7 linked regions of the Mus musculus genome follow. The protein of the gene in region 3 interacts with the protein of the main gene of each other region in a pairwise test. Links are inferred from orthologs where the notes say so. Each region holds a gene or a part of one and is shown on either strand. Other genes may lie near its edges. The genes, in order: Chd2, Gpatch2l, Trim41, Zbtb48, Top3b, Zbtb8a and Meox2.

Region 1 (3,500 bases), on a different chromosome or scaffold from region 3:
TATGAACATCTAAATTTTTTAGGAAAGATACTTTGTTAGAAATTTTTATAAACAAAGTAATTATTTGAAGGGATATGGCTTTTTAAAAAATTTTATTTCTTGCTAAGCTCAAAGCTTTTACAACACTAAATAGGATCAGATAAAACCTTGAAGGATTCTGTATCTCCCCATATTTTTCTTTCCTAGAATTCCCTGACTATAAATGAATAGCAGTGGGAAGTGTTGGGTTTGAAAGATGTGCCTGAGGCTGTGGAGTAGATAGAGTAGTAGGGAAGAGGCGTGCATGCACCTAAGGCTTGTAGTCCATGCGGAGACTGATGCTTTTCTCCTGTATCTCTGTTACTTTTGTTCCTTCAGGAAATGGATATAGATGAAATTTTGCGTTTAGCTGAAACCAGAGAGAATGAAGTGTCAACTAGTGCGACAGATGAGCTGCTCTCACAGTTTAAGGTATGATGAAGACCATGTGGGAGGAACCAGTCAACACTGACTTACTAACTAGAAGCTCCCTTCGTCTAGTCTCTGTGTTTGTACGAGGCTTGTTATTTCCTCCCTTACCTGAATTAACTCGTGCTAGTGTCGTTCTGAGTTCGGATGTTAGGACTGTAGTCTGCAGTGTTCCATGAGGGTAAGCACTGAAGTGAACCGTCCTTTCTAGAGTCACGGGCAGAGGAAAGGACATTGATGTATTGCCAACAGGATAAGCAAAAGACCAGAAGCATGGAGGCATATGAGCCATTCATGACATCAGATGCCAAGAGAAGTCAAAGGCATTGGAATTGTAGGGGAGAGTTGAGAGACTCCCCTACCTCATGGAGACAGGGTTTTTTCTGTATAGCCCTAGCTGTCCTAGAACTCATTCTCTAGACCAGGCTGGCCTCAAACTCAGAGATCTGCCTCCCAAGTGCTGGAATTAAAGGCATATGCCATCAGTACCTGGTTTACAGTTTTGGTTTTGGAGGGATATTCTCTTAGACCTTTTTTTTCCCCTCCCTATCCTTTATTGTTTACTCTCTTTTCCTTTTCTCTTGTCCTTCCCCTCCTAAAGGGTTGATAAAGGATAGTCATTAGTGTCTTATAAAAACATAAAAAAGGAATAGATCACCGCAGTGCCGAGGAGGGAGAGTTTGAGAATTAAGTCTGTGACTTGAGTTCTGCTGAGAGGCAGGAAGTCTTGGGACAGCTGTGAGTTAGAGTGCCTGTGGGGAGAAGTTGGTTGGGAGTGACATAAATCTAGGTGGTTTCTTTGCTGTGGAGCCACTCACCATGTGACTTTGTCCAGCCAGTACCTACTGTTAGGGAACCTGGGTCACTTGGCAATCCTAGGGTGGGAGATTGGTCTGGAGTCTGGAGGATAGTCAGGGTAGCAAGTGTTTCCAGAGTGCACGGGAGAGTTAAACATGTCAGGGAAAGTTGTTGGGTCTAGGAGACTGCTTACTTAGTGTCGAGGGAGAAGACCTGACTCTTCCAGGCTGTCCTTGTCCTTTACAACACGTGCAGTGACATGTGTGTGTACAAAATAAACAAGCTACTATCAAACCCCAGACTTAAACTTTTGTAAACAGCACAACTAGTTTTTGCAAAAATAATTGACAGTGAGATGGTTTGTTTTTAACGGTCTCAGAAATTATGCTTCTTCTTGAAATTTAAAAAATGTGATTGTAAGATCAAAATATTCTTACTGAAAATTGAAGAGTTAGTTTTAACTACACATCATAAAGTTTTGATTTGATTTTGTGTTACCTCCAAGTGACTTTGAGGAATGTAAACTGTAAAGGTCCATTTGTGCTCCAGCAGACTCTTAGGCCAAGAAGGAAGGAGTATAAAAGAGCGAGAAACTGGAACTGGGACTCTGCGCTGGCAGCACAGTCCGTAGGGAGCTGCCTGGTGTCTGAGTGCAGCCCGAGCCTGGGAGCTCCGTAGGGAGCTGCCTGGTGTCTGAGTGCAGCCCGAGCCTGGAGGCTTGCTGGTTTGCTCTCTTGGGGCACATACCGTTAGACTGCAGTTACCGCCAGCATTTGGTAGTGGACAAATGGTGTGTCTTCTAGACTAAGATGGGCTTTTGAGCACATACATACTTTGACTGGTTACACTTCTGATAAAGGTGAGTAAGGTGACAGGGTGACTGAGAGCTGGCTGCAGCTCATCATAGAGGGATGTGGGATCATCATGGATGATAATTAGGTGCCAAACATGTCCTACAGTCTAAGCCCGTGAAATTACCCAGGCAGTGCGATGCAAGTGAAATACACTTATTTCAGTAAAACTTACCAAACAGTTTTTAACCTTTCTATATCTATTTCCCTAATTTTAATAAAATTTTTGATGAACTGATAGCTTTGTTAAGTTGATTTGGGGGAAATAAAAAGGTGAGAATAGTAAAAAAATTATTTTGATTACATAATATTATGAGTCCTATTACAGCGTTCTAAATTAAAAATGTTCATTTAGCTGATACCTTGCAGATGGTGTTTGGAGGTTGAGAAATGTCAGACGGGGGTTGTCTTTTGTCTTTCAGGTTGCCAACTTTGCAACAATGGAAGATGAAGAGGAGCTAGAAGAGCGTCCTCACAAAGACTGGGATGAAATTATTCCCGAAGAGCAAAGGAAAAAAGTGGAGGAGGAAGAACGGCAGAAGGAGCTGGAAGAAATTTATATGCTGCCTCGGATTCGCAGTTCCACTAAAAAGGTGAGGTGAGAGGGAAGTTCACTTTCTGCCTGTCCTGAGTGACTGCACATATAGATTCGTCAGGGAGAACCCATGCACGGGAGAGGCCCTGAACAGGAGAGGCCCTGACACAGGAGAGGCCCTGACACAGGCCTGCTGGGCAGACACGAAGTAGCACGTGCAGGGCTCATAAGCACACCCTGGGCCCTTTTAGTTGGTCTTTGCTGATTGGTTTTTTTGAGAAATGACTGGAAGGGTTCCGAGTTTACAGAAGTTTTTACTTTGTCTTTGAGGTTAAAATTGTTGACAGTCCTGAAGACAATTAAGTCCATATTGCTGCTGTCCTCATGTTTCAGAGTGCCAAATTCTCTTTGTCCTTAACTGCTCACAGTACTGGGTCTCCGTAGGGAAAGCTAGCAAGCATGACTAGTACAGGGCCTCCACAGGCTGCACAGCTTATTCAGCCGTGCATAAGCACCATGGGATACAGTGTTACTGAAATAAGAACACACGTTTATTATCCAGTTTTCCGAGTTACTAGGCTTGCCTGCTGTCCTGTTAAATGAGCATTACCACAGGGTCAGCTGCTACTGCGTGGCACACAGTCCTGAGTGCATTTTTATTTCCTGCTTGTGAAAACCCTGTCTCAAAGGGAATGTCATATTTTCATCTTATTTTACAAAAGGAGAAAAAAAAGACAAGTCATTGCTTTCCTGTTTTATACTGGGTGTCTTATATATTACAGTATAAAATTAATCGGCTCTTTTAAATTCAGTACACTTAATAATTGCAAGGTCACTAAAAGTATGACAGTTTTCTCCCTGTTCCCTGA
Region 2 (2,505 bases), on a different chromosome or scaffold from region 3:
CATTTGATGGTGGTTTCAGAATCCAGACAAGACTTGACAGAGACACGGTAAGAGCCCTTGAGCATTCCTGGTGCCATGTCAAGTCCTACATCCTGTAGAAAAGCATACAGTTTCTCAAGATGGTCTTCATAAAACTGTCATGAGATTTGCCAACTCTGCTTCTTGGTTATATCATGTAAAGAGCAAAAGCAGAAAGTTTAAAATGTTTTAAAAATGTTACCATGTTGTGTGTATGGCTGTTTTGCTTGCTTATATGTCTGTGTACCATAGATATACAAAACTCACAGAAGTCAGAAGATGTTGGATACTCAGAAACTGGAGTTACTTAAGGTTGTGAGCCTCCATGTGGGGGCTGGGAATTGAACCCAGGTTCTCTGAAAAAGTAACCAGTGCTCTGAACTGCTGAACCCCTCTCCAGCCCCCAAACAGAGTTTCCTATGCTGCTGGTCAGAGTAGAACAGCCCAGATTTCCATGGCCAGGTGAATGAGCATCAAAACATGGTGTGTTCATACATGGGGTGCCATTTAGCTAAATTTGACTTTGTGACTGGCTGTTAGAAATGTGCCAAGGCTATCCACTTGGGTAGAATTACTGGATGGGAAAGAAAAAAAAATCTAAAATGTGCTGTATTTTAGTATATCTCAGTATATTTGTATTCTTGGCAGAGTGGGCACACGATGGGAGTGAGAGTGGTCTGTCATGATCCACTCAGGGGCATTTGGAAAGGTGAAGAAAGTAACGGCACATGGTGGGGTGCCGTTGGCGTTCAGTGGACTGGGTCCAGGGGGCACACAGCACAGCTCTGCATCAGCACTGGTTACCCAGTCCAGAGTGTCCCACCAAACTTCCTTAAAGTACTGTGCCTGATTCTATTTTCTTGTCGTATTTACTGGTAACTCCATCATATTGGGGGTCCAGTGTGCCAAGAAAACCATAGGGCTTCCAGCCCAATATTTGAGCGTGAATTGCTACTTTTGATCATTATTTTTTATTTTATTGTATTGTATTTTATTTATTTATTTTGGTTTTATGAGACAGGGTTTCTCTGTGTAGCCCTGGCTGTCCTGAAACTCACTCTGTAGACCAGGCTGGCCTCGAACTCAGAAATCCGCCTGCCTTTGCCTCTGGGATTTGAGTGCTGGGATTAAAGGCGTGCGCCACCACACCTGGCTGAATTGCTACTTTTGATCTACATAGTTTAGTTTCCTGATCCATAAAATGCAGATGACAGTGCCTACTTCTAAGAGTTTCCATTAAGAAATTAGGTCATGCAGGTAATGAATGCCACAGCTGTGATCCCAGTACTCAGGGGCTGAGGCAAGAAGACTGAGTTTGAAGCCATCTTGGGCTACTTCGTACGATGTTATTTTAAAAAAGAAACACACACACACACACACACACACACACACACACACACACACACATACCCAACATGGGGTGGGAGAGAAAGAGTGGGGGAGGGAGTCATGAGTGTCCAGTGCTTAGCAGAGCAGTGCCTGGTACATGTATGCTCCGTGGGTGAAATGTTTTGGGGTTTTCTGTATTGTAAATTTGTCCTAAGTGTTTTAAGTGAAGAAAACATTAACAGGTGATTAGGACATGAAATATAAAGATTAGCCACCGCCGCCGCCGCCTCTTCCTCCTCCTCTTCTTCTTCTTCCTCCTCCTCATCTTCTTCCTCCTCCTCCTTCATTTATTCATTTTATATATGTGAGTATGCTGTAGCTGTCTTCAAACACTCCAGAAGAGGGCATCAGATCTCATTACAGATGGTTGTGAGCCACCATAGGGTTGCTGGGATTTGAACTCAGGACCTGTGGAAGAGCAGTCAGTGCTCTTAACCACTGAGCCATCTCTCCATCTCCAGCCCCCAAGAAACTTATTTCTAGTGCTTCTTATCCTAACTTCTTACACTAACTCCTCTCCCTTCTTTTGTGACAGTGCACCCAGATGTTCTGGAGCCGGCCATCCCAGCTCAGAAGCCTCCTGACTCCGAGTGGTTGGACGGGACCTCTGCAGCAGAGAAAGCCACTGCCTTTCCTCCAGCCACGTTTTTCAAAATGCCACAGGAAAAGAATTCTGGCTGCAGCTCTAGCCCAGGAACCAATGGGTGTTGAAACTTTGTATTGTACAGTCTTAGTGTTCTGATTGGCAGTCTTGGGCCTAATGCCACAAGGACTGACTCCTCGTCACGCACAGCAGTTGCTCTTTCTTTGAGAAAATATTTGGGGAATCTTTTTTTGTAAAATATCAATTTTCCTTAAGTGGGTGGGGCACCCTCTGCTGTCCCCTTCCTTCGTTGCTCGCCCACCATTCACCTTCAGCTGCTGCCTTAGAGCTGCCTCTCCTTGGCAGCTGTGTCTTTGTTCCTGAAAATCTAGCAACAGCTTTTGCGTACCTTCTGTGTAGAGCTTTTCATGTCGCTGATGAAATCCTAAATTTGCAGCCAGTTGGAAACACGTTGCTGGATGGGATTGTGTCTGTGCAGTAAGGCTGGCCATCGA
Region 3 (3,500 bases):
GTATACGCCAAAGCGCCGTGGTTTCTCACATGGGCTGAGCAGTGTCTGCTCTGTTGAGCTCTGTGCCTGGTATCGTTTGCCGTGGGTGCCCACACACCACACTTCGCGCTGGAGTAGGAGCTGCTGAGGCAGATGGAGCCGGCGGCGGCGATGATGATGGCGTGAGGAGCTGGCATCCCCACTGCTAACAGAGGACCCCCCAGAGCCCACTTTTTCTTTATGATGGGTTGATTCACGGGCAGCACCCACTGCCCAGCCTCGCCTCCCACCCACCTCTACCTCCCAGTAGTGCCGGCCAGAGCGGAAGCCCTGGGCCCCTAGTACACAGCAGTCAGCTGAGAAGCGCTTGGAATGTTCAGGAACCTCCTGCCGACGTTCTGCCAAGCGGACTCCACGGCGATCAGGGGACAGCAGCAGAGCTGGGTGAGCTGTGTCAGGGTCCAGTGTCAGGTCCACTTGGAAAGAGACATACAAAAAGAGTTAAAACAGCTTCCCATCACACCATCCTACCCCATCTTCTTAGTTCCCACCCTATGTTAGAAGTCAAGTTCAAGAACTATGGGTTCTAACCTTCACCCTAATTCTAACACCTGCTGGCCTGTCCCTGACTTTCCATCTCATCCAAAACTTAGCTGGGCTATCATGGAAGCAACTTTTGGCTTGAACCTCAGAGTAGCTTCCAGTAGTCTACACCATCCCAGTAAGCCAAAAGGAAAGGCAAAAACCTCCCTACCTCTTGCAGCCTGACAAAACATGCGGCTCATTTTCCTCACGATGGCGTCTGTCAGGAAGTCGTGGCTATGGGGTTGGCATGGGTCAGGGGACCAAATCTCTGGGGGCTGCAACTGTATCTCTTCACACCTGGAGGAGGGGGACCAGGTAGGGGGTGGGAGCATGATATTCCCAGAGTGAAGAATGATAGCTAAGGGGAAGGAGCAGAGGGTCTGAGAAGCAGAAACTTAGGTTCTGGGGAGAGAGGGTGGGAGGGGAGGGGAAAAGGAAAGGAAGTCTCAGAGAAGCAGAAATGGGGAACCAGACACTACTAGGTTACAAAGGGTAGAGTGGGAACACACCTATTGAAAGTCTCCTTGATGTCCTGGGAATAACAGAGACAAAAAGAGGGAAAGGGAAAAAGAGAAAGAAAGTGTCAGCTACACAGGGGTCACTGCTCTCTTCAGCAGAGAAAGGTCTGAATGTGAACAGGAAGGGAGAAAGCAGCACCTTCCAGGCTCACAATAAACAAGAATATTTCTCAACTACCATAACTACCACAAAGACTTAATCATCCTACCAGAAACTATCAGAATGCTATTACTAGTTTTTTTTTTTTTGTTTTTTGAGACAGGGTTTATCTGTGTAGCCCTGGCTGGCCTCGAACTCAGAAATCCACCTGCCTCTGCCTCCCAAGTGCTGGGACTAAAGGCGTGTGCCACCACACCGGGCTTTCTTTCAACTCCTAACCCCCTAATTTAAACAACCGAATTTGCATTCTTTAGGTAGGTATGATTGCCACACACATACTCAATACTGTCACCAGCTTTTTAAAAAAAAAGTCTTGTTCGAGGTACAGGCAGTTCTGCAGTAGCTGGAGAGAAACTGCCTAATGGAACAGAGAGGAAGCAGGAGAGTGGATCAGGGCAAAGGGGAACAACGCTCACTTGCAGTAGCCGCAGGCCCCCCTGTTGGCTCCGTTCTTGGGCTTCAGCAAGCAAGCGGCTCAGCTGGGCAGCCTGCTCTTCAAGGCGGTTGGCTGCTGCTCCCGCACGTCCTAACTGAGCTTCGTGCATCTCCCGGAGGCGCCTCTCTAATCCTGCCTGCTCTTCAGCCAGAAACCTTGTTAGCCGCCCAAACTCTGAGGCCACAGCTGCCAGCTCTGACTTCATCTGGCTCTGAAAAGATGCAAAGGCAGACATGAAGACACAGTTCTGTGATCCAGAGGAACCCAGTATGATTCCCAGCACCCACATGGCAGCTCATAACCATCTGTAACCCCAGTTCCTGGAGATCTGATGCTCTCTTTTGGCCTCTAGGGCAAATGAACATATTTGCATACATATACATACATGCAAGCAAAACATCCATACACTAAGATTTAAAAAAGGAGAGTTGCAATGGGAATAGAGGCTACCACCTGAATGAATACACAAAAAGGTAAACTTGACCTTTTCTGTCTGTTGCCTCTCAATCTCAGGCAAAGGAGTCTCACGCTCCCTAACTCCAACGTGTCCTGGGAACGGGAAGAGAAGTCTCCTCCCCCGTCTCAGTCTTATTGACCCTGAGATAGGCCAACTCCTGCATCCTGCTTCACATTCACCAACTGCTTTCTGGAATACTTAGCTCTTCCCTGTCTACCTAACTTGCTTTTCAGATGGAAACTTTCATGTTCCAAAGGACATGAAAAATCTCTCCTCTCCAGATTTCTGTACTACCAACTCTGTATTTCTGACTATATCTCCATAGTGTATGGTATTGGAAATGCTATGTTAGAATACAGACAGGAGTGGGGACACATGTAAAGATCAGAGGACAACTTGCAAGAGTGGGTTCTCGAAGGGCAGTGGTGGCGCACGCCTTTAATCCCAACACTTGGGAGGCAAAGGCAGGCGGACTTCTGAGTTCAAGGCCAGCCTGGTCTACAGAGTGAGTTCCAGGACAGCCAGGGCTACACAGACAAACCCTGTCTCGAAAAACAAAACAAAGAGTGGGTTCTCTCCTTCCACCAACTTGGTCCTAGGGATCAAATTCAGGTTAGCAAGCTTGGTGACAGATACCTTTACCAACAAAGCCATCTTGCCAGTCAAGTTTTGTTTTTGAGACAGAGTCCTGCTCTGTAGCCCTGGCTGACTTAAAACTCACAATCTTCCTGTCTCTACCTCCTCTGCTAGTTTAATTTAAAGATAAGCCACCCGCCCAGCTTTGTGGTGTCCTTTAAGTTTCTCTTCTACTATGCCACATATTCCCACAGATAGGACCGGCATAATCCTTTACCACAGTGTCATCAGAGGCTGGCACAGTGCCAACCACAGGTAGGTACTTGGTAAGAAATTTTTGAAATTACCAAATGAGAGAACTCAGGAAGCAATATATGAAGTGAACTTAGACATAAGGGCTCATGCATATAATGCCAAAACTCTTCAAGACTGAAGCAAGTCAATTATTCCACATCTGAGGCCAGCTTGGGCTACAATATAAAACCCTTTCTCAAAACACAAAAGGAAGATGCCACACAGTTAAGTCCTGACTCTCAGTAGTCACAGTCACCAGAAGAGAGCAGTCACTCAAGTTCTCTAGACTAGGAGTCAGCAAACTCCTGTAAAGTTGCAAACAGTAAATGTTATACACTTAGGGCAACAGGTAAAACATTTTATAGGTATAGCTGCTCCTAGATATTCAAGTGGGTTTGTTTCCAGGAGACCCAAATCAGCAGATATGCAAATAATCCCTTTTTCTCCCATATATTTTAAATGTCTCATAACACCCAATACAATGGAAATACTACC
Region 4 (3,965 bases), on a different chromosome or scaffold from region 3:
CTTCCTCATGCTGGGTTCCTTGGTAGCTGGGAGTTGCAGCCTCTACAGCTTCTTCGGGAAGCCCACGGTGCCCGCGTGCTTGCTGCGTCAGCCCCTCTTTTCTCTCGGGTTTGCCATTTTCCTCTCCTGTCTGACAATCCGCTCCTTCCAACTGGTCATCATCTTCAAGTTTTCTACCAAGGTACCCACATTCTACCACACTTGGGCCCAAAACCATGGTGCCGGAATATTCGTCATTGTCAGCTCCACGGTCCATTTGTTCCTCTGTCTCACGTGGCTTGCAATGTGGACCCCACGGCCCACCAGGGAGTACCAGCGCTTCCCCCATCTGGTGATTCTTGAGTGCACAGAGGTCAACTCTGTGGGCTTCCTGGTGGCTTTCGCACACAACATCCTCCTCTCCATCAGCACCTTTGTCTGCAGCTACCTGGGTAAGGAACTGCCGGAGAACTATAACGAAGCCAAATGTGTCACCTTCAGCCTGCTCCTCCACTTCGTATCCTGGATCGCTTTCTTCACCATGTCCAGCATTTACCAGGGCAGCTACCTACCCGCGGTCAATGTGCTGGCAGGGCTGGCCACTCTGAGTGGCGGCTTCAGCGGCTATTTCCTCCCTAAATGCTACGTGATTCTCTGCCGTCCAGAACTCAACAACACAGAACACTTTCAGGCCTCCATCCAGGACTACACGAGGCGCTGCGGCACTACCTGATCCGCTGGGGCTGTTGAGAATGGGCAGATGAGATGGGCTGAAGGTGGCGGGTCGAGTGGGGCGGAGAGCTTGAGGTGTCTGGGAGAGCTCAGCCACGGCTTGCGATGTATAAGCACACAGAAGGATCCAGTGCAATAAAGACGTGAAACGTGTGTGTGTGGCTTCTTGGCTGCTATTCCGGTCTGGGGACAGCTTGGGACCGCACACCAACTAGCTGGAGTAGGAGCCTAGCGCCCAGCTTGGCGTTACTAGGCGACTCGGGACCCAGCGCGGTTGGATTTACCCTTGGTCCCGCCCCCTATGCTGCCCATTGGTCTCTTTCTGAGGCTCCGCCTTTGAGGCGGGACCCGAGGACATTGCGCCACGGAGGCGTCCGGTTCTTGCCTGCGCGCCTGTATGTCACATCCGGCGCGGCGGCGGTGGCGTCTCCGCGCTGTGGGCCGGGCAGTAGTTAGTCTTGTGGGCGGTGGAAGTGGTCTAGGCCGGAGCAGTGAAGCCGGTGTGAGCCGGGAGGACCGGCGGGGTGAGGAGGGTGCGGGAGGGAGGTGGAGAGCCGCCTCGGGCTCTCAGGAGCGTGTGGCCGCCGCCTTCCGCTTGCCGCCCGCCCGCGATGTGCAGGCGCGGCGTGGGCTTGGGTCACCTGTGCGCAGCCGCCGCCCTGCCCTACTGGCTGTCCGTTGGGTGCTCTACAGATCAGCTGTCGTCCACGCTGGTCTAGCCCCAAACTCTCATTTTCATTTTTTCCCCACCAGCACCCTATCCCGACTGCCCCTGTCCTGTCTCCCGCCATGCACTTCCTCTCCCGCTCTCTCCCCTCCGGCCAACCCATGCCGCTCCCCGCCCCCAAGACTCCACTCTGGCTGTGTACTCTGTGTGCACTTTCTAACCTTGACCCAAGCCTGCATCCCGACATGGGTGGATGTGCAAGTGTCCATCTCACTCTCGGTCCAAAAGGGCTTTTCCGATTGGGGCTGAGCAGAGGGGTCATGTTTGCCTTCCCTTTCAGATTATGGACGGTTCCTTCGTGCAGCACAGCGTGAGGGTTCTGCAGGAACTCAACAAGCAGCGCGAGAAGGGCCAGTATTGCGACGCCACACTGGACGTGGGGGGCCTGGTGTTCAAGGCGCACTGGAGTGTCCTGGCGTGTTGCAGCCATTTCTTCCAGAGAATCTACGGGGATGGCACAGGGGGCAGCGTTGTCCTCCCAGCGGGCTTTGCTGAGATTTTTGGCCTCCTGCTGGACTTTTTCTACACTGGCCACCTCGCCCTCACCTCAGGGAACAGGGATCAGGTACTCTTGGCAGCCAAAGAGTTGAGGGTGCCTGAGGCTGTGGAGCTATGTCAGAGCTTCCAGCCCCAAACCTCAGTGGGACAGGCACAGAGTGGACTGGGTCAACCTGCCTCCCAGGACGTGAAAAGCCACCTGAAGGAGCCGACAGACTTGGATGAGGAGGAAGTTTTCAGGACTCTGAGCCTGGCCTCCGTGGATCAGGAGCCCAGAGACACTGAGCAGCCCCAGCTGGGTACACCTGCTCAGAGCACCACGGCCTTCCTCTGTGGGAAACTCACGCAGGCTTTGAAGCCTTCTCCCTCAGAGGACAAAGAGTCTGAGGACTGCAAAGAGCCCCCAAGGCCCTTCGAGGCTGGAGGTGCCCCGCTGCAGGGCGAGAGCAATGAGGTACTGTTTTCAGGGAACTGGGGAGGCAAGCATAAGGGTAAAGACCGACACTTCGGGAGCAAACATGGGAAGCCAGTGGTCTCAGCTGACCTTCTGCGAGCTACACTTGTCCATGGTTGCCAGCTTCCTTGGGGTGGAGTGAGCGTCAGGGTTACAGGTATTTCCTTAGGTTAGTGATCCTGGCCAGCTCCCTGCTAACATAGCCACTATGCTCCAAGTCCAAGATTGCAGTCTCCTCTGGGCCCTGCAGGGAACTGTTGTCTCTGGTGAACGGACCATCTGGGGGTGGGGCTTATGTTGGAACTGAAGGCTGGGTCCTGCTGATACCTGGGTGACCCTACCCCCTCCTGCTGCCTCCTCTGCTCTAGTGGGAAGTGGTGGTCCAAGTGGAGGACGACAGGGACGGTGATTACGTATCTGAGCCTGAGACTGTGCTAACCAGAAGGAAGTCAAAAGTGATTAGAAAACCCTGTGCAGCCGAGCCAGCCCTGGGTGCGGGTTCTCTCACAGCCGAGCCCACTGACAGCAGAAAAGGTGCAGCCGTTCCGGTCGAATGTCCCACATGTCACAAAAAGTTCCTCAGCAAATATTACCTGAAAGTCCACAACAGGTAAATGCTCTGCTTGTTTTAATTTCCTTTTCCTATCTGCCCTTCCGTGTTGCAGCAGAGGGTCCTGTACTCCCCTCCTCCGGGCTCTGCGGGGCTGGGGATCCTAGGTCAGGCCCAGACAGTGGCTGGTCAGCATGCCACCTCTTCCTGTCTTTCTGTGATTGTGGGTTTGTGGATACCTGGTCAGTAGATTCTACCCACTGTGGAGTTTGACTGTGGGCAGGCCTCTGGCCCCTTCCTGAGCTGAAGCTGAGGTCTGATAGACAGTGTGGGCTGTGACAAGAGGCTGATGGAGAGGACGGAGGCTGCCTGTGTTTCTGGGGATGTTAGCTTTGTAGGTCAGTGATGTATAAGGAGCCATTTGTCCAACAGGGACCTTTTATGACTTGGAGGTTTGTCCTCTTGTTAGTTTTGTCAGGCTTTTTGTTTGTTTGTTTTTTGAGACAGGGTTTCTCTATGTAGCACTGGCTGCCCTATAATTCTCACTGTGTAGACCAGGCTGGCCTCCAATTCAGAGATCCACCTTCATCTGCCACCCAAGTGCTGGGATAAAAGCCATGTGCCACCATACCTGGCTTGTTTTGAGTTCAAATTACTTGAGATCCCATACCACATGCCAGGCATGGTGGTGTACACCTTTGATCTCAGCACTTAGGAGGCAGAGGTAGGCAGATCTCTGGGTATTGAGGTCAGCCTGGTCTACAGCCTGAGTTCCAGGACAGCCAGGGATACACAGAGAAGTCTTGTCTCGAAAAAACCAATGCCCTCCCAACACACCGAAAATAATAATAAAAGTGAGTGCTGTAGACACAGCCCCATCTCAGCTGCTAAGTAGACATACTAGTCTCCTGCAGTACCGAGCCAGGCTGTGTTGTCAGTGCGTCACTCTGGCAAGCCACTGGTGCTCACCTGGTGTAGGAGTGAGACCTGTTTGTCATGCCTGGGCTTTGGCCTTGGGGTAGATG
Region 5 (4,050 bases), on a different chromosome or scaffold from region 3:
CCTGCCACTGTGGTTGGGATGGAGACACTGTCATCATATTGTTCTATAATGGGAACATGGGTCACACTAGAGCTGGAGTTGTAGGACATGGATTTGACCCTGAACCTGTTTGCTCTAGAACCTGTGCTCTATCCTGTTGCCTCTAAGAATGTTTTTGCTATATTGCCCTGTAGTACTTACTAAGCCTGATATAGACTCCTATCGGGTTCTTACCTTATAGCTCCTGAAAAATAAGCTAGCTATGTGACAGCAGGGACTTTTTTTTCTCACTCTAATGGGAAGTAGTAGATGGTGAGCAAACACAATTGAATGAATCTCTGAATACATGACAACAGTTTTACCTGTAAAACTAATAATATGCTTATATATCATTAAAATCAAAACCAAACCAAACCAAACCAAAAACTTACTTTATGTTGGGTTTGGTAGGAGGCAAGTAGATCTCTTAGCATGAGTTTGAAGGCAGCCTGGTCTATACAGTGAGTTCCAGGACAGTCAGGGCTACACAGTGAGACCTCATCACATTAAAAACAGCAGCAGCAGTAGCAACAGCAGCAACACCTAACGTTACTGCCAGCAAACACTTCTATTTCTAGGCATTCTTTCTCTCTGGTTTCCAAGTTTTGGGAATTTTGTATCTCTTCTTCTCTTCTACAACCTAAGATCCAAATTATTGACTAGACTGACAAGTCCCTTCAGACACAGACACGCTGCCTTAGCCGGACTCTGTCACATATCCAGGTAAAGGTCAGTAATAGAAAGGCACAACTCGCTCTCAGCTGCCGTCCACTTGCCAGGCTATGCAGCTGCCGTCCACTTTGAATATACATTTATCTTCAGCTTTGACTCAAAACAAGTAAGTAGTTTTAGCACTTCAGCACAAGGGGACTTTGTAATGCTCTATCACTATTTCAAAGGAAGAAAAAAGATTTCTAATGCCAAGTATGCTGGCATACACCTGTAACTGCATCTTTCACGAGGCTGGATGCGGCAGGGGAAGCTTGAGTTTTAGGCTATACTCAGTTACATAGCAATAAGCTGTTTAAAACATTTTTTTTTTCTTCTTTTAAGGTACAGAACTAGACAATCCAGGGCCTTGACAGGAACATTTCCCTTTACCTAGACCAGATTCTACTCTAGAGAGCTTTTGTAACTGTGATTAATGTCAAGACTTCCCTAATTAAGGCTCATCTTCCATTTCAAAGTGAAAACCAATGAGAAAACCTGGACTTGATGGCTTATAAGCATCACCTACACACCACACTCACACTTTGTGACTCTGAAACAACACTATTCACTTAAGCTTTTGCTGTGTGTGTGTGTGTGTGTATGTGTGTGTATTGGGCAAAGACAGCGTCTTGTGTGGCCAAGGCTGGCCTCTTAACTATATAGCCACTACGGCCTTGATCTTCCTATCTTCAACTCCTGAGTGCTGGGAATTCAGGAGTACACCAAAATGTCTAGCCAAAATTTTTATATATGATCACTTAAATAAGACTCCTTAACATAAACCTACATGATATACCAAGTCTTTTCTGCCAAGGCTCTGACACTATAGTTTGTCCTATTCTGGAGTTAGGTAAGCAAAGGGCTATTTAGGTGTGGATTGCAAAGAGAGAATAGCAAGACAACCTGCCCATTCTTTGCCACACCTCACTAATCAGTGTCCCTTGGAAAGCACTGTAAATATGGAGGTTTCTTTTTGTATTATGTAGTAGTGGATTTAACTTGAGGAGCCCCAAAAGGGGTCAGCAAAGCATGGGAAATCTAAGAATTTAACACTTCAGTGACTTTTAATCACCTACAGATCCAGGAAAATAAGCCTGTCTCTTAACTCCTTCTTTGTATCTAGTATGCTGCAGCTCTGTCTACCAACATTGCTATAAAATAGGAGTTAAAGTTAAACAAACAAATAAACAGTTATTTTGTGTGTGGATATGTATGGGCACGCACATGCTGCCGGTCACAGGTCAGAAGACAAATTGTGGGATTCAGCTCTCTCTTTTTACAACGTGAGTTCCCGGGGTCGGAACCTTGGTTGTAAGAGCGCTGAGCCATCTCATCATCCTAGTTTAAAAAGCCAGAATAAATCGCAGTGCATAACAATTCAGACTAGCGACAAGGGACCTTGGCGAACGGTGAAAATTCCCCCCTTTCTCTGGCTATCAAATCCAAGTCGTCCTGGCTTTTCACAGTCCTGTTCCCAAAGGCCGGGTTCCAAATAGGTTAAGAGAGGTCATCCGTTCTTCCCTATGCATAACTAGCTGGCCCTCGACTCTAGCTCATTGGTTTACCCAAGTTTTCTCCTAATCTGCAGAGATCAAGTCCGAGAACAGCCTGGGTCTCCAGACAGAGCAGGCTCCGGGAGGCAGCGAGTGGAACCTTCGGATAAGAACGCAAACCGCAGGCCTGAGCCTCTGTGGGCAGCACAACTTCCCTGAGCCGGTTTCCCTACCCTCAACTAGGGGGAAACGTCTCACCTCGGGGCCGCGGGGAGCTCGTTGGAAAAGCGACCACTGCCCACTAAACGCGGCTCCACCGCCGCCCAGAGGCCCCACGGCGAGGGCTGGATGGCGAAAAAGCCGCGCCAGGGCAGGACCCTCCCCCACGCCCCCGCCCGGGTCGGAGCGCTGCTACCATTCCGGAAATGCCTGGGGAAAGCCAGCGTCTTCCGCTTCCTCGAGCAGCCAGCATCCCACTGCTCACCCGCCGTGCCGCTGCGCCTCTCGCTCCGGCTGTGCTTTCCCCGGTGGCCACTCACGAACTCACTTCCGGCTCTGTCCGTCTGTGGCGTCCCCTCATCTGCCCTCCGATGTCGACACTAAGGTGTCTGCAAGTTCCGAGGCTGGTGAGTTCCGGGTGCCTTGCTGTCTGCTTCCTGTTGGGAGCAGCAGGGGCTCCCCAAGTCTCCATTGTGTCTCCAAAAAATCATCCGGAGAAGACATTAATGACGATTGTCAGTATGATTACGAGAACTGATGAAAATATGCAATTAATGATTAAAATAAAAATGTAAAGTTTATTTTTATTTGATATGCATTGGTGTTTTGCTTGCATATGCACATCCGTGCGGGGGTGTCAAATTCCCTGGAACTGGGGATAGTTGTGAGCTGCCATATGGGTACTGGGAATTGAACCCAGGTCCTTAACCACTTAACCAGCCCAATAATTAAAATAATTTAAACATTTCAGATAGCAGGCTTTTTCAGTGTTAGCAACATCTGTGAGCGGGATGGTGGCTCTTACCAGGAATCAAGCAATCAGAAGGTTGAGACAGCGAGTTAGAGGTCATTCAGGGCTACATAGTGAATTTCATTCCAGCTTGGGACTATAGGCTATACAAGACAAAACAAAACAAAGCACCTTTTAAAATTTTGAAGACCACACTACTTGTGTTAATGTATCTGGAAGATAATATGTAATTTTTTTAGAGTATTAGAATTATGGAAGTTTTAAAATAGTTTTGATGACTTTATTAGCATACCGTTTTTTAATAGCCTGGTATGGTGGCTCACAACTTTGATCTCGGCACTTGGGAGGCAGAGAAAGGCAGATTTCAGTGAGTTCGAGGCCAGCCTCATCTGCACATTGAGTTCCAGAATAGCCAGCCAGAGCAAAATAGTGGGATCCTGTCTTAAAAAAAAAAAAAAATATATATATATATATATGTATGTATATATTCAGATTGTCTCATTATGTAGCCAAGGCCATCCTGGAACTCACTGGAACTCACTGTGGACCCAGGCTGGCCTCAAACTTATGTTTTTAAGCCATCCTTTTGTTACCAAGACTGGCTATGACAGCCCCAACTTGTCAACGAGACAAGTAAGAAACCTATAAGATGGCTCAGCAGGCAGACAGTGGCTGCCAAGCTGGCCATGTGAACACAAAAGAAATGAAAATAAAAATGTAATTAAAAGAGATAATACTAAAAAGCAGAGGAAGGAGATTTATTTAGTGTGCTCACATATGGTAGAGGAACATCTAAAGAGGCCCAGTGACTGCTCCCACACATATTTGGGGTCTGATATGAGGCTTAGGTTTAAGGAG
Region 6 (4,233 bases), on a different chromosome or scaffold from region 3:
TTCTACCCATTTTACTAATGAAGGCACAGCACTGTATTTACCCTCATTATGTATGCCACGAAGAGGTGCCTTCCGGGAAGCAGAAAGAAGCCACACAGGGCACCATAATCTTGTGCTTCCCAGCATCTACCAGTGCAAGAAGTAAATATCTGTTCTGTTGTTTTCTTCTAGACAGGGATTCCCTGTGTATGTAGCCCTGGTTGGCCCGGAACTTGATCTGTTGACCAGGCTGGCTTCCAAAACAGAGAGATCTGCCTGCTTCTGCTGGGATTAAAGGTATGCAACGCCACGGCCCAGTAATATCTGTTCCTTCTATGTGACCTGACCTTCGGTAATCTTAGTAGCACATATGGTCTACAGGGTCTAAGATAGGAAAGTCTTAGAATGAAATGTTAGAACACTTAAGAGGGACTGGGTAGATGGCTCAGCAGTTAAAAGCACTGGCTGTTTCTCCAAGGATCTGGGTTCAATCCCCAGCACCCACATGGAGGTTCACAGCCATCTCTAACATCCATGTAAGGGGATTCAACACCCTCATCTGGCACCAGGCAAGCACTTGGTATACTGGCACAAAGGCAGGCAACACACACACACACACACATATATATATAAATCTAAAAAAAAAAAAAAATAGAGAGAGACTCGAGTTTTGAAACTATACTTGGAAAGGCCTCACCGAGAAGATGACATCTGAGTGATTGGTGTCCATAGCAGGAAAGAATGTGTATCTTTGAAACTACTCCAGGCAAACCAAACAGCAGGTGCAAAGGCCGTGAGGTGGACAGGAACAGATGGAGGAGGGATGGGTGGGGAGAGGAGGTCACTGTGGTGTGCCAGTAATGTCGGCTAACCCCAGGGTCTTGGGAGGCGGGGCAGGAAGAAGTAAGACCAAGGCAACCCTGAGAAAACCCTCATCTCATAATAAAATTAAAATTTAAAATAAGGGGCCTGGGGATGTATCTCAATGGTAACATTTACCTAGCCCATGCAAGGCCCGGGTTCAAAATACACACACACACACACACACACACACACACACACACACACACACGCCACACGCACACACACCACACACACCACACACACACACACACACACACCATGGGGGTTTTGGATTTTTTTATTTTTTTAGTAGGATGTGAAGGAGCCATTTAAGGTTTGGAGAGGGCTGGGTTTAGTGGTAGAGTGCCTATGTGACATGCATGGGTTCAATTCAAGTACAGGATAATATCAGGTGTGGTGATCTATGCCTGTAATCCCAGCATTTGGTAGGGGCTGCAAGAGAATCAGAGGTCCAAGATTTAGGGCTAGCCTGGGGTACATGAAACAGTGCCTTCAAAAAAAAGATATATAAAATAGCTTTTTAAAAGAGGAGTTTTAAAACTTATATTAACGTCTTTGAATATTAAAAAGTATATAATTGTGCCAAAAATTTGCCTAGTGCATCCCAGCCCTCCCGAGGTGGAGGTAAGATCAAATTTTCAAGTCTAGCCTGAGTCCGCTTTAAAACAAAGAATAAATAGGTAAATAAAAGTGCGATTTAAGTGATAAAATCAGCGAAGGTTTTGGTACTTTGGAGACTGTTCCGGGACGCTGCAAGAACAGGGCGCCTTGGGGGGCTGCCACGTCTCAGCTCCCTGCCTAGGGATGAGACTCCCTAACCATTAGCGTTTTATTTTTCCCCCTTTCCCCTTTGCTAGGTAGAATAAACAGCCGGAACCCGTAGCCGTCTCATAAGAAATTAAGTGCAATATTTCGTCAAAGTGAAACCACTCCATTTACTAAAGTTCTGCAAATAGAAAGACTTCTAGGTGTTGGCGGCGTGTGTGGTTGGGTGCCCGCTAGGTGTGAATCCTATTCCAAACACGTCTCGCAAAGACGTGGATTACGAATAACCGCACGGTCAAGGGCGAGTAAGCGCGCCAGAGCGCGAAGGGACTAAAGCCGACAGTGTCTCCAGGTGGGAGATGCCAGGGACATTCTGCCGCGGGGCCAGCTGGGGCTCCATATTTCTGCCCTCGGTTCTAAGCCCAGAACTGTCGCGTCGTGATGGAAAACCAGAGAGTGGAGGGCGGAGTGAGACCGCCGGGCTGCAGCGCCCCGCGCCCCGCGCCCGACGTCTGCAGACACGCCCGGCCCCGTGGCGCCGCCTCGCCGCCGCGGCCGTCAGGAGGCTCGGGCGCCTTCCCGCCTTTCCCCGGGCCGGGCCAAGGCTGGCGGCGGGGCGGGCGCGGGCGGCGACGGTGCAGCCATTGTCCCGCAGCCGCGCCCGGGGCCGCCGCCGCCGCCCGCGTCTCCTTTGTGGCCGTCGCCGACCCTCGGAGCCGCCGCTCTGCGCCCCCGGCTGCAAATGGCGCCGGGTGCCCCCTGCGTCGCCCGGCGCACCGGCTGGGGTTGCAGTCCCGGGGCGCACCCCGGCGGCTCCGCCGCCCTCCGCCAGGCTCTGGGCCCGGCCCGCAGCCCCGACGCCCGGGCCGCCCTCCTCCCGCCCGCGCCCGTGCAGCCACTTACCGCGGGGCTCTAGCCGCTCGCTCGCTCGCTCGCTCGCGCGCGCGCGCGCTGCGGAGCGATTCCCGGTTCCGGGTAGGGGAAGCAGCCCCTTTCCGAAGCCGAGGCTTTGCGCCCTAAAACAAGTAGCCCCAACGTGGGAGAAACAAAAGGTATTTGCTGACGTGGGCGTTGGACAGAAACGCCCGAGGGCTGAGGACACAATTAAAGGGGCAACGCACAGATTTCAGGCACCAACCAGCAGCTTCGCCCACTCCCCCTGTCCGTGCCCACGCCCGACTGCACCCTCCGCAGGCACTAGGGCGCCCAGGTTCCCCAGCAGTTGATTGGGGATCATTCTTTTAGTCGGGAGCTTAAATTTTAAAATTGTACTTTACGTTGGGAAAGGCGCCTCCGGAGGGCAGAAGGGCTGGATTTCTAATATGTGGAGATATTGGTTCAAGGAGAGAGGGAGGGACTTAGGCGTGCCCACAAATACTGTATACATGTGACATTATTGTACTTAAGTTTAGCGACGTAAAATGGGAGAGAGTTCCACAAAATCGCCCTTTGACGAAGCACTTAATTTCAGTTATAGCCTTTTAGAAACCTCTGTAGGTCCCCATCAAGCCCTTTGAAGAGGCAAGCCCGGAGGGGCTGAGATTAAGAGGCCGTGATTCTTTATATAAAACTAGTACAAAACAGTGTTTCGTGTTTTCAAATATAAAAATTGGTCGTAAAATCAAGTTTCTCTTCTGACGTGACCCTAATATTTATGGCACACAAATATCAGGTGATACATTTCCTAAAATAGTAAACCGCTGAATTTTCATACTGCTTAAATTCCACAAACTAAATTAGTTTTCTACTTCTTCACGCTGATTGTCAAGTAATGCGGAATGGGGGAGAAGATTCAAAGTCTCAAAGCATGCGTTTAATATTTTGAGGCGTTCCTCTCCCAAGCCTCAGTCAAGCCCATCAGGGTCCTATTTCTCCGATCTCCTCACTAAGTAACTATGTATTCGAACATCATTCTCTCTGAGAATACAATACAGTCATTTCTGAATGAAAAAAAAAAAAAAAGGAGAAATAAAAAGGAAAGGGACATGCCTGGTCCTAGGTATAGTGGAGGAGAAAGTTTATTATAGATATGTGGGAGAGCACAGCCAGAGGCAGGAACATCTGGGAGAGTACAGAGTGAACTGAGCTGTGCCCTGTGATGTGGGGTGGGGGAGGGAGGAGAGAGAGCAGCAGAACCAAGTACAGCAGGAGACCCAAATTACAAAGAGGGTAGGGAGCCAAAATGGTTGGATTATATAGGGAAGAATAGCTCAGCCCCCTGGACTGGAGGATTCAAGCTAGGGGGCCGGATATGCCAGCCTAGAGGACCCTGTAACAGGTATTGGACTGAGGGATGCTGGGAGAACCTGGTGGCCAGGTCAGCTTTGACATGTTAACTAGGCACCCCAGCTATTTGTCCCAGGTTTGACACCTAACAGTTTCTTAATGTCACACCTGTTTACCCCAGGGGTGCTCTGTGATTAAGATTCGTTTCCTGGACTTTTGAGGTAATGGGAGATAATGGAAGGAAAGGTAGACCAGTGCTTATTTGAAAATCACTAGGACAGGGCTGGTGAGATGGCTCAGCGGTTAAGAGCACTGACTGCTCTTCCAAAGGTCCCGAGTTCGAATCCCAGCAACCACATGGTGGCTCACAACCATCCATAATGAGATCTGACGCCCTCT
Region 7 (4,085 bases), on a different chromosome or scaffold from region 3:
GTCTCACTCTCCCTGTTTCCCCAACCAAAAATAACTTGTGCCTGAAAAAAAAAAAAAATTCCTTCGTGTGCGCAAATAATCTTTAGGGCATTGGTTCAGCTAAGAAGCAGCGCAGTTTCCCCCTTGCGGAAAGAAAACACGGAATCCGAGCTTCTGGTCCTCCCTGAAGTAGATAGCAACCTGCCAAAGCAATCCATGCATTTCTGCTCATAAATGCCCAATCTGGGGAAACCCAGTGCGTTCTGATGCCTTCTTAGGAACCTTTTTGGTATCTTAGGATTTCACATACAGTTAGAGATAACCAGTAAACAGAATAACAGCGATGACCGAGTTCTTAGACATAACTAATCATGATGAAGCATCATTAATCGTTCACCCAGGACCTGAAAAATTACAGGTTCAATAGTGAGGCTGGGAAGCAAGGAGTCACCCCACACCGAGGTCAAGAAAAATTTCTATCATCTTTCAACACATTACAAAATACACAGCCCTTACTGCCCTACACTGCAGAACACCTTGCCTAAAATGTTTAAAATGCTATTATTTTTCAATTCTTCAAACTATTGCCTAGAATTATATGTTCTCTCGAGACACTAGCACAGAAAACGTAATATATGTAAACATTTTACTAGTTAAGTGACGTCTTTCTAAATCTGTATCCAGGTTGCCTTGTAACTACATAGAAGATTCAATAAAGAAAAAAAGAAGGAAAGAAAGAAAGGAAAGAAGGAAGGAAGGAAGGAAGGAAGGAGAGAGAGAGAGAGAGAGAGAGAGAGAGAGAGAGAGAGAGAGAGAGAGAGAGAACATTTACAATGAGGAATGTATTTAAGGGCTTTGTTGTGTTTCCTGGAAATTTTTAGTTTCTCTGTGCTGTCAGGATGCACTGGCTATTGGACTTCCAGGCCCCTGAATTCTTCTGGGAGGCTCCCCTTTTGTAGGACTGCTCAAGTTACCCACACCTTCCCTGCATCTTCTTCCAGCACTGTCAGGACTGTTATCTGTCCACTTTCTCCACTGCATCTCAAAGCACTACTCAATTGATGAAGGCTTTTATTTTCCACAGTCGAAGTTCAAACATTTTGTTTTGGTTGGTTGGTTGATTTGGACTTTTTGCTTGTTTCCCGTCCCCGTCCCCCCCCCCCCCCCAAACCAGGTTAGCACCATATGAGTGTAATTACTATAAGAATACTCTTTATTCAAAGTTTTCAGAGGTATTCCTTAAACACTTCTAGATTACTAGATAATTACTTTTTCGCCAAATAAATAGAATGTTTGGGGAGGGGTTGTTTGTTTTTTAAATATCATTTTAAGAAAGGTGCTATTTAAGGAACTCTGAAAGCAAAAATATTAAAAAAAAAGTTTTAGGTTTCTGTTCTTTTTCTTTCTTTAATTTTTCCTTATCTTTTTCTTTCCTTTTCCGTTTTCTTCCTTTTTTCTTTTCCTCCTCTTCTTTTCTTTTCTTTTCTTTTCTTTTCTTTCCTTTTCTTTTTCTCGTATTTGGTCAAATCCAGTTAAAGTTCAAGGCATTGCGCAATAATTTGGAAACCCAGTTAAGGATAGGAAAAGTCGAGTTGTTCAGAGTTGGGAATTGGAAGGGAAAAGTCAAGGAAACCCGCATGCACGCACACACGCACGCAGGCATGCATGCCCAGCGGATGCAGCATCCCAATGGGCACACCCCTCCCAACCCGTGGAGGGACCCGCCACGCTCCCTTAACCGATTTTGCATAGTGTCACTTGCTCTTTCTTCACCACTTCTGGAAAACTGATTTGCGATCTTGGAGGGCTTTGAACGGCTGGATGTAGATATATTAACTTCAGTGAAACACGTGCTCCTGAATTACAGGACGGACGCTCCATGGATGAACTCGCCCACCAGAGCGAGGAAAGGCTAGCAGCTTCACAGTTTGTCTTTCTATGAGAAACATCCCACACCTCCCCGCATCTTCCTAGCCCAGAGCGCACTCTCCCCAGGGTTGCTTTGCCCGCACTCACCTGAGCTGTCGCTTTTCCTTTTGCTGCCACTTCTCTTCTCTACGTCTGCGGGTGACAGCGCTTGACGGCCATAATCCCCTGGTGCGCACGCGGCCCCGGTAGGGGTGCTGGAGCCCAGGCTAGATGAGTTGGAACACAGGACCGGAGGGCTGCTTCCCAGCTCCGGGGGCCCTCCCGAATCAGGCTGCAGGCACAGGCTGTGCCGGGCCGCGCTTGGTGGAGAGGACATCTGCGGGAGGTGCCAGTTGCTTTGCAGAGCCTGGTGCTGCTGCTGCTGGTGGTGGTGATGGTGATGGTGGTGGTGGTGGTGGTGCCCCCTGTGATGCTGGCTGGCAAACATGCCCTCCTCGTTGGGGTATCCCGCGATTATGCAAGACGAGGAAGATGTGGAGAGTTCGGGGTAGGACATGTGGTCAGATCTTCCATGGAGGGCCAGAGAAGACTGGGAGAAGGGGTGCAAGCCTTGCGCTGTGGCGTGGGGGCTGCGCAGGCAGCCAAAGAGGGGGTGTTCCATGGCATGCAAGTTTCGGCTTCCAAGCAGAAGACTTCACGGACGGTCCGAATGTCCACCAAGCGCTGTCACTTTTCACTGGAAATCCTAAGACTTTCCCCCACTCACTCCAAAAGTAAAAGCCGCGCGCGTTTGCATTTGAGCAGAGCCGGCTAATCCCAGTCCTGAGCCTTAGCGGCCAGTCTCCTGCACGTATAAACACTAGGACCTGGAGGAGCTTCCTTCGCAGCTGCTCAGATGTCAAGTGTGGGAGAGGTGGAAGCCAAAAGAAGGTGGTCCCAGAGAACTGCTTTCAGGGGGAAATGGCTCTGAGAGGTTATAAATAGAGTGTAATGTGAGCTGGGGGCTGGCTTAGGAGCCCAGCGCTGACCACATGCAAACTCCCTCCAAAACTCCCGCTCAGTCAGCGCCACCGTGCTCTCTCATTTCCAGTTCCCATTGCTGGCAGGACAGGAGCCGCTGCCCAACGCCCGCCCGTCGGGCCCTGGGAGCTTCCACCACAGCTAGTGGTGCTCCCAGAGCCTCAGTCGCTCCGGGCCACCGCAATCTGTCCCATAGGTTCCCATGGCCAGACGCAGAGGCACTCAGCTTCCCTAAGCCAGCACACAGTGTCTCTGAGTAGCTCACTGCTCTTGGAACCTAGATCTCTCAGCCTTGGTGGGGGTTGGGGTCACCTGCAGGAGCTCCCTGACTACTCCCTGACTTTGCAGACCACAGAGAACTTTCAAGAGAACTTTCAAGAGAAGAAGAGCCTAGTCTGTCGAGCTTTTCAAACTCAGAGGCCACTCACGGTTCCAGCGTAAACACATTAGGTTTATTCTCTTTTAGGTATCTGAGAATAGATTGTTAGAAAACCTAGAGCCAGGGCGGAGGTTGTAGAGCTGTGCACCAAGGCTAGCACAGTGCTACTCTGAGTGCAGAAAGGACAGATATACAATGGGGTGTGCGCGACACAGAGGTGGATGTAGGCTCTGGCGCCTTGGCGACACACAAGTGTTGCTCCAAGTGGTGTCCCCCTTCCTTCTTTTTCTGACCCTCTTCCCACCCCTACTTCTCTTTACCAGTCCAGTTCGCGAAATTTTCTCACCATTTGCTCACCGAGGAAATTGGGAGGGGGGGGGTCAAGAATAACCCGAAAAAATGTCAAATGAGCAAGTCTAACTTGCTCCCAGCTTCACCCTTCCTAGCTAGCTTAACCCTGCAGGAGCCAATTCACAGCCCGCTCCCATCCTTTGAGAAATGAAATCTCTCTTTAGCTCACAGAGCTAATGCTCCTTGCATACATTCCATTCCTCACCACCTTTCTGTTTTAAGCAGATAGCAAACTTAACATTCCCTCAGCGTGGACCCTGCTATCATGGTTCATTTCCCCCAGGTTTACAGCCTGTGCTCCTGGAAATGAACTAACTGCACACCTTGCCACCAGTGAATTTGTGAGAGCAGGGGCTGGGGTTGACACAGCAATTAGCTTGGGCGGCCACAGAATCTACTGGAAGTCCTGTCCTTAACCCACAACAAGCTTGGGAGAGTGGGCTGCAGGAAAGCCTGTTCCTATCTAGGAAGTGTCTGCCAAGGGGAT

What was found.
Region 1: the proteins of Trim41 (region 3) and Chd2 interact in binary tests that used the Homo sapiens proteins (3 or more experiments, as listed by UniProt). The two-hybrid records come from large-scale screens. The link is inferred for Mus musculus from reciprocal best matches to the Homo sapiens genes TRIM41 and CHD2.
Region 2: the proteins of Trim41 (region 3) and Gpatch2l interact in binary tests that used the Homo sapiens proteins (3 or more experiments, as listed by UniProt). The two-hybrid records come from large-scale screens. The link is inferred for Mus musculus from reciprocal best matches to the Homo sapiens genes TRIM41 and GPATCH2L.
Region 4: the proteins of Trim41 (region 3) and Zbtb48 interact in binary tests that used the Homo sapiens proteins (3 or more experiments, as listed by UniProt). The two-hybrid records come from large-scale screens. The link is inferred for Mus musculus from reciprocal best matches to the Homo sapiens genes TRIM41 and ZBTB48.
Region 5: the proteins of Trim41 (region 3) and Top3b interact in binary tests that used the Homo sapiens proteins (3 or more experiments, as listed by UniProt). The two-hybrid records come from large-scale screens. The link is inferred for Mus musculus from reciprocal best matches to the Homo sapiens genes TRIM41 and TOP3B.
Region 6: the proteins of Trim41 (region 3) and Zbtb8a interact in binary tests that used the Homo sapiens proteins (3 or more experiments, as listed by UniProt). The two-hybrid records come from large-scale screens. The link is inferred for Mus musculus from reciprocal best matches to the Homo sapiens genes TRIM41 and ZBTB8A.
Region 7: the proteins of Trim41 (region 3) and Meox2 interact in binary tests that used the Homo sapiens proteins (3 or more experiments, as listed by UniProt). The two-hybrid records come from large-scale screens. The link is inferred for Mus musculus from reciprocal best matches to the Homo sapiens genes TRIM41 and MEOX2.

What each region holds. Positions count from the first base shown.
Region 1 is NC_000073.6:73,468,747-73,472,246, reverse strand, and holds part of Chd2 (chromodomain-helicase-DNA-binding protein 2), read left to right. Parts: intron 1-357; coding exon 358-450; intron 451-2,518; coding exon 2,519-2,689; intron 2,690-3,500. UniProt on the Homo sapiens protein: ATP-dependent chromatin-remodeling factor that specifically binds to the promoter of target genes, leading to chromatin remodeling, possibly by promoting deposition of histone H3.3.
Region 2 is NC_000078.6:86,286,858-86,289,362, forward strand, and holds part of Gpatch2l (G patch domain-containing protein 2-like), read left to right. Parts: intron 1-1,942; coding exon 1,943-2,118; 3' UTR 2,119-2,505.
Region 3 is NC_000077.6:48,807,392-48,810,891, forward strand, and holds part of Trim41 (E3 ubiquitin-protein ligase TRIM41), read right to left. Parts: intron 1,890-3,500; coding exon 1,659-1,889; intron 1,097-1,658; coding exon 1,074-1,096; intron 967-1,073; coding exon of another isoform or gene 960-966; exon of another isoform or gene 881-959; intron 862-880; coding exon 734-861; intron 456-733; coding exon 1-455.
Region 4 is NC_000070.6:152,024,813-152,028,777, reverse strand, and holds the start of Zbtb48 (telomere zinc finger-associated protein), read left to right. Parts: upstream 1-1,165; 5' UTR 1,166-1,235; intron 1,236-1,241; exon of another isoform or gene 1,242-1,631; coding exon of another isoform or gene 1,632-1,721; coding exon 1,722-2,390; exon of another isoform or gene 2,391-2,559; intron 2,560-2,758; coding exon 2,759-3,000; intron 3,001-3,965. Other genes in the region: Tas1r1 (taste receptor type 1 member 1 precursor), read left to right, coding at 1-712. UniProt on the Homo sapiens protein: Plays a critical role in transcriptional regulation and chromatin remodeling. Acts as a regulator of telomere length. Directly binds the telomeric double-stranded 5'-TTAGGG-3' repeat.
Region 5 is NC_000082.6:16,869,486-16,873,535, reverse strand, and holds the start of Top3b (DNA topoisomerase 3-beta-1), read right to left. Parts: upstream 2,801-4,050; 5' UTR 2,481-2,800; intron 1-2,480. UniProt on the Homo sapiens protein: Releases the supercoiling and torsional tension of DNA introduced during the DNA replication and transcription by transiently cleaving and rejoining one strand of the DNA duplex.
Region 6 is NC_000070.6:129,375,229-129,379,461, forward strand, and holds the start of Zbtb8a (zinc finger and BTB domain-containing protein 8A), read right to left. Parts: upstream 2,801-4,233; 5' UTR 2,512-2,800; intron 1-2,511. UniProt on the Homo sapiens protein: May be involved in transcriptional regulation.
Region 7 is NC_000078.6:37,107,255-37,111,339, reverse strand, and holds the start of Meox2 (homeobox protein MOX-2), read right to left. Parts: upstream 2,801-4,085; 5' UTR 2,510-2,800; coding exon 1,996-2,509; intron 1-1,995. UniProt on the Homo sapiens protein: Mesodermal transcription factor that plays a key role in somitogenesis and somitogenesis and limb muscle differentiation. Required during limb development for normal appendicular muscle formation and for the normal regulation of myogenic genes.